Drosophila melanogaster: one gene and its partners. The protein of the gene in region 3 interacts with the protein of the main gene of each other region in a pairwise test. Each region holds a gene or a part of one and is shown on either strand. Other genes may lie near its edges. The genes, in order: CG5062, gpp and CG11248.

The links.
Region 1: the proteins of CG11248 (region 3) and CG5062 interact in a two-hybrid assay, tested with the Drosophila melanogaster proteins (one large-scale study listed by BioGRID).
Region 2: the proteins of CG11248 (region 3) and gpp interact in a two-hybrid assay, tested with the Drosophila melanogaster proteins (one large-scale study listed by BioGRID).

The regions. Positions count from the first base shown.
Region 1 is NC_004354.4:5,180,571-5,185,012, reverse strand, and holds the start of CG5062 (uncharacterized protein), read left to right. Parts: upstream 1-2,643; 5' UTR 2,644-2,832; coding exon 2,833-3,429; intron 3,430-3,493; coding exon 3,494-4,442.
Region 2 is NT_033777.3:6,404,583-6,409,024, forward strand, and holds the start of gpp (grappa), read left to right. Parts: upstream 1-2,274; 5' UTR 2,275-2,509; exon of another isoform or gene 2,510-2,895; 5' UTR 2,896-3,192; intron 3,193-4,395; exon of another isoform or gene 4,396-4,442. UniProt on the Drosophila melanogaster protein: Histone methyltransferase. Methylates 'Lys-79' of histone H3. Required for Polycomb Group (PcG) and trithorax Group (trxG) maintenance of expression. Also involved in telomeric silencing but do not in centric heterochromatin.
Region 3 is NT_037436.4:21,678,124-21,682,565, forward strand, and holds the start of CG11248 (uncharacterized protein), read left to right. Parts: upstream 1-1,926; 5' UTR 1,927-2,029; exon of another isoform or gene 2,030-2,109; intron 2,110-2,176; 5' UTR 2,177-2,183; coding exon 2,184-4,310; intron 4,311-4,371; coding exon 4,372-4,442. Other genes in the region: Als2 (amyotrophic lateral sclerosis 2), read right to left, coding at 1-1,375.

The DNA of each region.
Region 1 (4,442 bases), on a different chromosome or scaffold from region 3:
ACCCCGGCCCCCGCCAAGTCAATTTGAACAACATTTTGCCGCAGCTCTGGTTATACAAACAAGATTCCACATTCCGCTTCTTGGCTCTCGTTTTCCTCGAAAGGTTTCCCTCGCTGTTCCCCATGCCTATCTTATTTTTCTGTCTAGCTGTGATGATTTGCCATTTGGGGCAGGACCGTCCTAGAGGCACGTAAATTGAATGGCCGGAGCCAAAAGGTTCTGCAACCTGAAGTAAACAAAACAAAAAAAAAAAAAAAAGTCTAGCAAAAATTAAGTGAAAATAATAAACCTTTCGCACACACACATTTTCTGCTGGTGGTGATGGTGGTGACTTGGGTGGTAAAGGAAAAGGCAAATGCTGAAGGGAAAGCAAAAGGGCATTACACACACGTTGACCAACGGATGTCCTGCTGCCTGATGGCATTACAGTTAATTAAAGGTGAACCGATGGCCACAGAGTCCTGCCATCCAGCACAGTGGGTTCAAGAGTCCAGTAAATTGGATTTAATTTCAATATATGTATATTGTGACACTATTTGTACAGCCATTTTTCGGATATTGATGTGTACCGTTGGTTGCAAATAACTTTTGGACTGCAATCTTGCCACCCTAAAAGGTAGTTGTGGATAGGGAGTGATTTTTAATGACTTTCACGATTAAATGCCCAAGGAATCATTTTCAGTGGACCGGAAATTATCCCATGGTGACTGTGCGCATGTGAGCGGAGGTCCACTGTGTGTGTGTTGTGCTGCTGCTGCTGCAGCTGCGTGTGTGTGTTAGTGTGTGTGAGGGCCATGGCAAACTGGAAACTTTGCAAATGAATGGCAAGGCATTGGAAATAATGAGCCGTATTTACATTTCAAAGCGCTCGCACAGAGCGAGAGCTGTAAAAGTTTTTAGCCTCCCCAACGGACTACGGGTCAAAATCAGTTACGGAACTCTGAAATGAAGAAGGATTGCGAGAAAAGAGGAATAAACCCACGGAGGCTGTTGTTGTAGTAGTTGTAGTAGTAGTTGTAGTAGCATTGCACACGCACACGCACACGCACACAGATGAAGCCGGGTAAATCTCCTCCAGAGTTGTGTGGGGAGTAAATTGCGAAAGCTTTCGGTGGCAGGATTGCATACAATTTGTTTTATGGCCATGGCGTGCACATTAAACGCGCACTTAATCACACGCAATGGGCGTGGTCGGTGGATCGTCCCACCGCCCACCATCGTCGTCGTCGTCTACGGCGACAAATCAAATTGATTTCGCTTTTCTGGCTGGCTTGCCCGCTGCCCTTGCCCAAAAATTTGTACGCCCCCTTTTTTTTTTTTGCCCCTTTTGTTGTGTTGTTTTGCGCCTTATTAAATCACTTTTATTGCCATTGAAATGTGAGAAAAGTTTTACGGAGACGATGCCCCCCCTTGTCGTATATATTATAGTACGTAATATGATTTTTAGCTGCTTGCCAAAAAAAAAAAATAATTCATATTTATGGCAAAAACTTCACGCTCAGCGCGATGTGAGAAACATCGGTGTTATTGATGTCTGGCGAACAGGAGTGTATTTCGGGCGGAACCCATGCAGTCAGAGGTGGTCGCTGTTGGTTGTCCATAGTGAAGGCAACCATTTGCCCCACGGCCACCACACCATCTCATCGGAATCTCGAGTATTTGGTATTGGGTGTCGAGTAGCGTAGTAGATGGAGATGTCTCTTTGTGCGCCCAACAACACAAGCGCCACACAAATAGACAAGACAAACACTATGGGCTGGATATTGAGTTTCGGTTTCGAATTCTCTTCCAGCATTCGTCATATGACGACTAAAATGGAATTTGGTCAGTATCGAGTGCACAAAAGACTCCGGCTAGTTAAGTTATACATATACCAAAATACCGTAAAATAAGCATAACTTGAGCAAAAATAATCATTTTCGAGCACTTTCGAGCAGCAAGTGACATGCGGTATTATAGCCCTGCTTAAAAGCCAGCTTGTTGAACTATATATATTCCTCCATTATCCTTTTTTTTCTCTCACCAGCCTAATCTACGGGCAACAGCGAGATTTTCACAAAAAAAATATATAAAAAAAATAAACCAGCGACCCCTATATTCAGGCACTGCGTTTCAGCGAGGCGTGTAATTAAATTTTCATGCCACCTACCTGGTGGCTGGATTTCGAAGGGAGAGTAGGCGGTGGGGCAAGCGGGCCATGGGCGTGGCACTTACATACAAAGAATGCAAATTGTCGGGGCTATTCCAAAATGCAAGCATCAACGCCTTCGAATGCAACCAAAGCAGGCGGAAGTAAATGCAGCAGCGGCGGCAGCCTTTCCCTTTTTCCCCCAACTAGCTTTCCATATATCCTCGCCCCCCCCCCCCCCCCTTCACTTATCCTCTAGTTTTTCCTTCTCACCTGCCACTCGACAAAAAACGACACTCAAGTGGTCAGGTGTGAACAAGTGTAGAAGCAGCGTACACGAGCATGTTTAATTTTGGGATACTCAAATGTATAACCGACCTATTAAAGGAACTCTATGATTCAAAAAGTACCTGTGAGCCTACATTCCCAGCAAATACCCTGTAATTGTAATGCTATACCCAGCAAGCTTTGAATTCATGTAGATTTAACCTGCCAGATTCGATTGGATAAACAAACGAAATATACGAAACAAGCAAACAAAACAAGAGCCTCCGAGCAAATAACACAAACAGACACGCCAACAAACCGAACAAAGGAACAAACTCAATAGCTAAGCGAGAAATCTGCTATTGCGTTTTACCCCACACCCCTCTGGCCATTTGCAATTTCAAACGCGATATACATATAGAATAGAATTCGTCAAGATGCCAATGGTGATGCCATGTCGTTCGCGAGCTGCGATGAAACTGCACCCGGATTGCTATGATCGACTTAAGAAGCCGATTTATCTGGAAACGCCACCATTATCGACCGTCGAAGAGGAGCCACTATGTGGCGTACGCCGTGATAGACCCGTAAAGCCAAAGGTTCAGAGGCGACCATTACCGCCCGGCACACGTCTACCGAATCCAGTAGCCGTGCCTGGACAGAAGATCACACGTTCGGCGGTGGGTGGCGGTAAGGCGCCACCGCGAGCCCGAAAATACGACGGTGCCAAGGCCACGTTCTTTCACATCAAGGGTCAATCATGGGAATCCAAGGGCTATGCGGAGCTCTCACAGTGCGAACTGGATCGCATGCGGGCATCGAGGCCGCGTACCACCGAGGAGCGTCGCGCGGAACAGGATCGCCGGATGGAGGAGCAGCAATATCATACAGCCGAAGCGGAACGTATGCGTAACTATTTCCACGACATTGATGAGCAGCGCAGGGAGAAGGAGCGCGAGGCCCAGAAGAGGGACGATGACGAGGCCGATGAGGATGTCAACGAGGATCGGCGTGCGGAGGCCAAACGATTGCAGGTAGTTTTTTGGTTTATGGTTCTTAGCCATATTTCCGAAAGTATATCTCCACCACCCATTGTAGGTACTACACCGCGCCTTGGATGCCAAATACGAGTCAGATGTGCGAGTTAAGGATGCCACGCGTGCGATATCCGAGGCCAAATGCAGTGCCATGTGGACGGCTCAGATACAGGAAAGGAAGCTACTCAATCGCATTCAACTCGATCATGACGAGGAGATGGCTCGCAAGAATCGCGACTACAACAATGCCAAATGGGGCACGGTGGAGCAGCAAGATCAGGCCGAAGAGGAGAGGCGCCGGCAATTTGGCAACGCAGTGCGTGAACAAATCACTGATCGCGAAAAGTTACGTTTCCTGGCCCAGGATCGTCTGCGATTGGAGGCGCGAGACTTGCGTGCCGCCGTCGATGAGTATAAAAAGGCTGAATTGGCAGAGGGCGAGATGAAATCGCGCCGTAAGCTGGCCTATCGGGATGAATTGAATAAGTATACGAAATTGCATCGCAATTTCGTACGGATGATGTGCGAACAGGATCAAAGAGATGAGAACAGGGCCTACGAGTATCTAAAGCTCAAGGAGCAGCAATTGAAACAACAGCGAGCGGAACGCGAAGCCATCGCGGCGGATGAGAAACGCAAACGGGATGTTCTCTTTGCAGTCGGCCAAAAGATTCTCGATGCTAAGGATAATCGCGAGGAGATGCATTTCCTGGCGGAACACGAACGCCTCGAACGAAAGTACAGAGAAAACGAACGTAAGGCAGCCGAAAAGGAACGCAAAATGGCCGCCGAACTCAAGCGTGCCAATATGGAGCAAATGGAGCATCTTAGCCAAATGAAGGCCTGCTTCTATGTGCAACGTGAACGCGAACTAAAGGAGATGATCGAGTATCGAAAGAAGCACGAGGAGCAAATGAAGCGCGAGGCCGAGGAGCAGGCCATCAAAAAGGCCTGTCTGCGCTCCAGTGTCTCGTGCCAAATCGAAGAACGGGAGAAGGCTCGTCGCCGCG
Region 2 (4,442 bases), on a different chromosome or scaffold from region 3:
CGTGTTGTTGTGGATTCAACCGTGCCTGTCTCCGAACAACAACAACAAATGCAACCAACTATGATGACAACAAACAGGAAGATGAGCCCATAGAAAGCCAACTTGCCCAAGACGATCTCACACACAAGTGTGCAGCTAAGTGAATTGATCAACGGGCGCATTGGAGGAGGGGGAAGTGTGATTGTTGCCAAGCCACAAGACGCATTCCCTGCTATTATGTACTGAATTGAAGTCGCTATTAACGTTAATTGTGTCATGCATTTGTCGATGGGGCGGGGGGAGTCGGTGGCTTTAACAAATGGTAATCAAAGTGCAATGACAGGGAAAGTCAGCGATTTTGAGGCGCGAATTCAACTGGCGAGGTGATATGACAGCAGAGGCCAAACTGGTTCTGTTTAAGTAATTACCAAAGTAAAATATTTCTTAATAACTTTATTCTTTCTCAGATGTTTGTAGCTGAAATGAACAAAGGCTCCCTACAGACATACATATGTACGTACATATATATTGGATTCACTTTTATCTGCTGACCAGCTTTTATTTAAACCCATTTCGGTTCACAACAGATATTAATGCCTTGTGGGGCGAGCCAAAAATGAGGTTCTTGAGGCCCGAAAAAGTTTGGATCAATGTTTTTTCCGCATAAAAAATAAGCAGGCAGGCCAACACACACGCACACACACGTTCGTGGGTCGCAGGTACGTGCGGGCGTGTGGTTGTGAGTGTGTTGGCCTGGTTGAGAGTACACTTAAATAAACAATTCTGAACCAAAAACAATATTCGGCACGCACTCACCTTTGCAACAACAGTTATGAAGGTGCAGCAGCCACCCGCTCTCTCGCTGACCGCTTTGCACGCTCTCTGCCTCGCGCTCTCTTCTCGCTTTTTGGCTGCTGCAGCGCTTGATTTTTATGCACACATCAATTTTCAAACTGCGACGCCCTTTTTTCCGATTTTCTCTCTCACCTATAAAACAACAACTGCCGCACTCAGCACACACACGCACACACTCTGTTAACAACAATTTGGCTCTTCACTTTTTGTGTATTAGATTTTCCTCTTTGATTTTCCTTTCGCTCTGCGCACCTCGTGAAAAATACTGTTACTCGGCTGGACAATCAGCGATACTTGTTGTAAAGCAGCGGACGTCGCTTCTTACATTTAATTGGCTGCCCTTTCGACTTGTCTGCGCTGCCAGTTGCTGCACTTTACTTTTGTTTGACTTGACGCCTCCGTCTGCTCTTCGCCTTCGTCTTCGTTCCGCTTTATCCGACACACGACCAACCGCCGCTAAAAATCAACACAAAGTAAGTGTGGTCGACGCCTTCTTGACGAAGAAAACCAGAGTCCGAAAGTGTCAGCAGCTGGTCACACCGCCAAACGGTCCCGCTGGCTTGGAACCGTGCTGCCAGACCGTTTTCATATTTTCATATTGATATTATAATATTGATATTGATAATATAAATATTTTATTCATAGCAATCAAGCTATCATCCATAGTACACATCAGCTTTATCAGTTCTTTTTTATCTTGGTTTGATATTTTCGATGCATTTTGTTTACAACCTAAACAAATTTTTATTTCCATTGATACCACGGAAATAATTTGAAATTTAGAACTTAAAAATAAAAGGAAAAATAACTTGTAAGTTGGAATAAATAAAGCACGGTCTTTAAAGCAAGAAAGTGTTAAATATATATATTTCAATTTGAGTCTATGATTAACGCTAATTTATGCTTATGGGTCCACTTTCGATCACGAGTTGTTCACACTAATGGATACAATCGCGGAATGGGCACACTGAATATTGTTTAGCGGACAGTGGACCAAAGCCAATTCGAATCAATGGAATATCCTGATATCAGGCATATGTTAAAACTAAGTAACGGAATGGTCAATGCGTAAATTGCTTTCGTATGTGTGTTTATTTTACGCCCTTACGTCGCTAATTTCTGAATTAAATAGCTCAAAAATATTCATATGTATCATGTAAAAATTTAAAAAATCTGCAAATAGATTGCATGTATCCCGTTAAAGATAGTAAGAAGTCCAGAAAAGAGAAATGCATTCAGCGATCAATTTTGCATGGACTTACCAATGTCTTCCACAATTTTATGCTTTTATTTTTTAATCGCTTTGAATTATTTCTCAAGTAACGCAATTTTGAGAAAAATCACACCATTAAATCGTGGTGAACAATCGAATATTCGATTCCATTTTAGCGTTAGGCATTTTTCCGCCACCCGTTAGGGATTCTCCGTTTCCCTTTTGTGTTTTTGTTTCTTTCTTTCGCTGGAACATAACGGACGTGTCGTTGCGTCGTCTTCCTCGTCGCGCGCGTGTGTGTGTGGTGTATGTGTGTACTGAAACATTTTGGGGTCGTAGCAAATCGGAGAAAAATTCTTAATTATACAATACAATACTCGTGCTTGTTCTCGCAGCGAATCGAAGTGATCCAATTGTGAGATTTGGCTGCAAAGGAAGAATACGAAAAGTTAGCTAAATTACGTGAGTAGCCAGAGTGTGAGTGTGTGAGCCAGAGCGAGGCGGCAAATCAGTATGGCGTGAAAGAGCTGCAAAATGTAATTTGCTGTGAATACCTCTGTGTGTTCGTGCCTGTGTTTAGTGTGCATGTGTGCTAAAACAAATGCCTAAATTGCAACAAAGAAAATTGTATGAAATATACGAAGCGAAGAGCAGAGCGAAAGCGACGATGAAAAAGAGGCTGCTGCTTGAAAAATAAGAAGAGGTGGAGGAGCAAGAAGAAGAGCAGCAGCAGCCGTCGCGAGTTTTTTACACGCGTGTGTTAGTGTGCATACAATTGTGTATGAAAAAGAATAAAAGCTAATCTAAAGTGTCAAACGTAATCTTGTATATCTCCGTGTTTCTTGCAGCGCTTGACAACGAAATTTATATTACATAGTAAATGCGAAATACAACAAAGGTTAATCATATTGCTTAATCAGAGTACTGCGGTTTCAAACGTCTTCGTCTTCCCCATCTTCTAAACTGGAATGCAACCAACACCAAACAACCAAAACCCACAACAACAACAACAAGATCGAATGGAGTAAAACAGAAACCAAGAACCTTTAAAGAGAGCAGTGAGAGAGAGGCGTCGGCTAACGGCTAATCAATTGACAAAGCGCAAAGAGAGAGGGAGAAGAAGCAGAGCGCTGAGTGCGCGAAATGTGAGTAATATATTTTAAACCGAACGCGAAATAAGAACTTAAATCAGCGAAGAACTCTTCTGAAAATGTGTAATATTAACGGCGGTGTGTTCACTGGTCCTACTGTTTGCCTCTCCGATAAGAGCGGAAGTGTAATATTATACTCAGACGTTGTGAAAAGTCAAACGTATTTATTTATCGGTTTCCCATGTGCCGGATACTCCGCAATCTGGGCCAGTTAATTATAACGTGTGGGAAGACAGTGGGCGCTCGCCCTTAGACAAGTGTCATATAAGGGCTATAAATTTAAAGTGGATATTTTATAAGCAGTCGTTTGACAACTATGTTTATTTGCTTCAAGCTCACAAGTATTAAACGCAGTGTTTAGAACAGATTTTGCAGATTTTAAACAACGTAAAAATTTTTTTGACACGGTCACAACGTAACTTTGTGTCAAATTAATAAATATAAGATCTTAGTTTGTCAGAATGTTGTAAACATTGTTGTTTTTAAATGATTAAACTGGTTAAAAATGATTTCTCATTTTGTCTACTAATATGATTAGTAACAAGGTTTTCAACTAAAATGCTCATGTACTGACTGAATTATGATGAGAAATGGGTTGCTAATGAATAAACATTGCCATTTAAATAGTCATGCGAGTTCCAACAGGGCTCACTAATTTACCAGTGATTTCTGTGATTTTGGTTACGTCCATAAAAAGTTTTAAATGCTGTCAGTGGTAGCAAACACAATCCAATTAAAGGAACATGCAAGACCCGAAAATAGGAAAAGTGCCAAAAGCTAAGTTAGAGGGGTTTTTTCTTGTTGATTACAGGCAAAAGGATCGAAAACCAAAAACCAATTATTAACAACTAGTTGAACCGGCTAAACATTTGTATTTGTATGCATGTATGTGCATACATATGCATGTAGATTTATGCCTAGAGGGGTTTGGGAAACATGCGTGCCATTTGGCTACTTCGACCATTTATCCTGACCGCAAGTTTTCTGTCAATTAAAAGTTGTTGCAACAGCATCGACTGACTTTTGTCATTCACCTATGTAACTTTTTTTTGCTAACTCAAAAAGCGACCAAATGGGATAATAAACGAAATATGCACTAGTCAAATTCCCAATAAGCTTATCTATTTTCGAAACGATTTCGTCTCTGATTTGACTTGAAAATTTCAACGTTGTCTAAAAATGTTACGAAATAATAGCAATTAAAAACAATATTAATAGTACACGCGTATTTATTCCAAATAGTG
Region 3 (4,442 bases):
GCGGCTCCAGTGCCGACTGTCTTTGCCAGATTTCGAGTGTTTGGACTGCCTGTCGATGCTTGAGAAGCAGTTGTAACTGTGACTGCAGATGACTCAGATAGTAGTGATACTGCCGCTGGAACTGCCTTTGGTTTTGAAGTGTGTATCCGCCAGAACACATAAGCAAACGTAGTTGTCTGGGCCACGCTGCTCCCAACTGAAGCTGGAGAAGCGTCTGCGCGTATGTGCTGGACTGCTGCAGATGTCGCATTGGAGGCGCAGGTTGAAGGGAATGTATTTGACCCGAGGCATTGAGCAGTAGTGTATGGTAGTCGCCGCAAGTCGCCTCAAGCGCCGAGTTTTGTTCTATGGGTAGTGCTGCCGTGTTTTCCGTAATTGTGATCTCCATGGGCGAGCTGACATCTTCACCCAACTGAGAGTGGTTGTTCAGGCCCCAGTGGTAGAGCCTTCCGTCCAGAGTGCGGGCCACCGTGTGCTCTAATCCAGCTGCAATGCTGCACACGCCCATGCTGTCTAGTTTCTGCAAGCGCATCACATTGGCCCTCCGGATATGATCCCCACTGCCCAGGAGACCATTATTGGAGGCTCCGAATGTGAAAAGTTGGGTGTGGAGCAGAGCGTATCCTTGGTGAAGAAGGTGCCTTGTGTTAGCCGCAACGCTGCGCTCCGAGTGGCCACTGCTTATGGATTTTACAGAGGCCCGTTCATCCTCGGGTTCTTCCTTCGCACTGGCCACCGACAGCTGGAGTGCATCGTCGGCCAGGTTGTAGGGAGCTACTAACATCACAAAGTGCTCGTTTCCGGCTGCTAAGTCCAACAGTTCCTTGCCCTCTTCGTAAAGGCGCATGTGCCGAGGCTGTTGTTCTGCCTTGAAGACTTCGCCGCAGCTGCCCATGACATAGGTCTCCCCACTAGCGCCGACGAAGACAACGCCCTGGGCGGAGCAGCAAACCCGTCGGATGCGTACGCCCTCAGCATGCAATTCGAGAGGGTCGAAACCGAGGGTTTGCCACGCATGTGGATGACCCACATCCCGGCCAGATCCCGTGGCTTGGCGCTGCACAGAGCCATTGGTGAGGACTACGAATAGTTCCTGACTGCCGGAGCAGAAGTCCATATCCACAACATCGGTACGCAGGAGTTGAAGATCCATGTGTTCGCGGTTGGCCTGCAGCTTGGCGGAGTAGAGGGCGTGGTCAGTGGTCAGAAGGAGCAGTTCCCCGCCGGCATTGCTGCAAATCCGGGATGCGGGAAACCGCTGCAGGGGCGGCAATCCGCGCCAGTGAAGCTGTAGCTCCCTGCCTTCATGATAGATGGTGAAGGACTCCCGCTCCTCCTGACCCCCAAGTGCCGAGTCATCCGCTGCACTGGCCATGATGTGCAAATTTTTGTTGGGGTTTTGGACAGGGCCAAAGCTTTGTAACACGACGCAATTGCTCGATTTGTCTGCAGGTCGTTCTCACATCGTGCACGTGCTCCGGTCCACGCTAGGCACTACTGGCACCAACGAACATCATATAACTTGATTCGGAATGCAACTCTAGCTGCCACGATAAAATAAATTCTGTTTTCACTTGTTCTTAACTGGCTAATAAGAATTCATGTTTTTGTGATGGTTTTTTGGATTAGTGTGACCAGCGCTATCGAGTCCCAATGAGAATTTATTAAGTAAGGGTGTTCGGGTAAAAGTGACGTTCTAAAATTGGGCTTATCACTATTTATTTGGTCCATGCAAATTGTTGTTTTATAACCAATTTTGAAAACACACATAATACCTTATACGTAAACTCAATATTGTAGTTAGCTAGAACTCTTATATAAATTTAAATAACTCCTTAGTTGCATTCGCCATAATCATGGAACCAGTCAACACAAAAAAGTTATTTTGGTATTTTTTTGCGATACATCAATTTGTTTTAATATGGTCATATTGTTTTTGCCATCAGCTGTTCGACTCAAAAGTTTTTGCATGTTTTGTTTATTTCGCTTAAAATGTAGTTTTATCGTTAATTAGGAAAAGTTACCCACGGTAAAAAAAAACAACCGTCAACAATTGTTCAGAAACATCAACTAGTACGACTCAGTGGACACCTCCGTGTGGTACTGCTGGTTTGCATACGCCCACAAAAGTTGTTTTAAGCCACAAACTCACCCTCCTAAAATAAAATTTTTTCAGCTCGGTTATGGATTTGGACTGCGAGGGCGCTACAGCTTTGGCTGACGACTCAGGGCACTTTAGCTGCACTAGCGATGATGGAGTAGGAGATCCTGCTCAGAAACCGGCGCCGCAGCCTGAACCGGACCAATCGATTTTTCTGGTGCGGCAAGAGCTGCTTCGGACGCGCAGTGAGGTGCAAAGGCTCTTAAAATCGGAGCAGTGGTACAAGCAGGAGCTTAAGTCCCAGAAGCACAGCAGGCTACAGACGCTAGAACGATTGTACGCACAGGAACGGAAGTATTTGATGGAGAACCAGAAGCTGCAGCAAGAATCGATCCGCCTGCACACACAATGCGCCACTCTGGAGAAGCAGCAGGAGCAGGGCTCACCATTTTCCCCTGGCTCATCGCCGTTTAAAGCAGACTCGGAGTCACACGACTCCTCTTTTGAGGCCAAACAGCAGGAGGCGCGCCTACGGGATCAGCGTCAGTTGATCGACGTGCTCCGAAGGCAAAAGAAGATGCTTCTGGACGACATCCAGAGGATCAGTCTGGAACACGATGAAAAACTTTCGCAGTTGCAGCAAACTGTTGTCGGCATGGAGCTGGAGAGCAAGCACGTGACTGGAAAATGCAAGCAACTACTTGACCTTAAAAGTCAAATGGAGCACCAGCTAGAGCTAAGAAGCACTACCCTACGCAGTGTCACCGCGGAGCGTGATCAGCTGCGCCAAGTCATTGCTGAGCTTAACGAGACGCTGCAAACGCAGGAGCATCTGTTAGCGCTAAAGGAACAGGAGTTCCTGGATTTGAAACAGTACTACCAACAAAAGCTGAAACGGGAGAGTAGCATGGAAATTATGCACTCTTATAGCATGAAATTTCACGAAGAGATCAACAGAAAAACGAGTGAAATTGCCAGCCTTAAGAATTCTCTTAACGAGCTTCAGGCCGAGCTGATGCTGATGTCTCACATGAAAGAGCAATGCGAGGAACAGCAGCGTCAGCTTGAGCAACTGGAGTTCGCATTGCAGGCACAACTTTTGGAGGAGACTCAACTTCGGCAAAGCAATGCTCTAAAACTGGAGCAGGTGGAAAATTTAACAATTTCTTTGGCTTCGTTACAACTAGATAAGGAAGGCTTAAAAGAAAATTTAGGTGAGGCGCAAAAGACCTTGAAAAATCTACAGCAGAAGGTGGACATTCTTCAAAAACAGTATGCCGAAATGTGCTCCTTGTGTCAAAAGACTAAACAGCAATTGGAACTGGAGAAAATCGAGATTGCCAAAATGAAGCAAAACGGTTCCTTAAAGGAAAGTGAGCTAATGGAGAAACTCAAAGATTATGCAGCGCAGTGTGATGAGCTGAGAAAAGCGTTGGCCGAAGCAGAGTCCCGTATCGATGTCCAAATCAAAAAGACAGAGGGCTGGCAAGTGCAGTTGAAACACAACCAAGCGACCCAAACGGACCTCGAAGATCCGATTTTAGTTCAACGCATTGAGACTTTGGAACAACAACTAGCGGATGTCAGGAGCCAAAAATTGCACACAGTTTCGCTGCTCCAAATACTGCTTCAACAGCAAGAAGCTAAAATCAAGAGCACTAACGAAATGGAAGCAGACTGGCAACAACTGTTAGATGCTCTGCAAGCTACTCAAAGCTTGGAGCAGGAAATGCGATCAGAACTACAGCATAAGACGGTTGAATTGGAGCACCTGAATGAATTGTTCGCTGGACAAAATGATGAACTGCAAAAGCTCCAGAAATTGAGCCAAGCGCAGGACGAGGAAAATCGACTAGAGTTACAGCTTTTGAAGAAAACATTCCAAGAGAATCTGAAGATAAACTCCGCTGCGTCGATTAACATGCAAAGGCTGCAAGGCCAGGTAAAGTCTTTGCTAGATGAGAAGGAGGAAATTGCGCGAGAAGAACGCAAAGCAGTAGAGTGTTTGCGATCTCTTGGTCACGTTCTTGAGATGGAAACAGGAAGGAGGCTACCACATATAAAAAGCTGGCCTCAGTTGGCCAAAATTCTTCGAAAGGAACTGCGAAATGGGAGGGTTAACAATCGAAAGGCTGAAGAGCTTCCTGGGCTTAAAATGAAGCTGGCGGAGATCAGCGGAAGGCATCAGCAAGCTTTGTCAAAAATTAAGGTATGTTATGTCTTACTCCCTTAAAGTAACTCTTTGTAACACAATTAATTGCTTTTTACAGTGTCTGGAGCACACTTTGGTAATGGAGCGAGCGCGGTTTGAGGCCTCGGACTCGGGCAAATCGACGGCTAG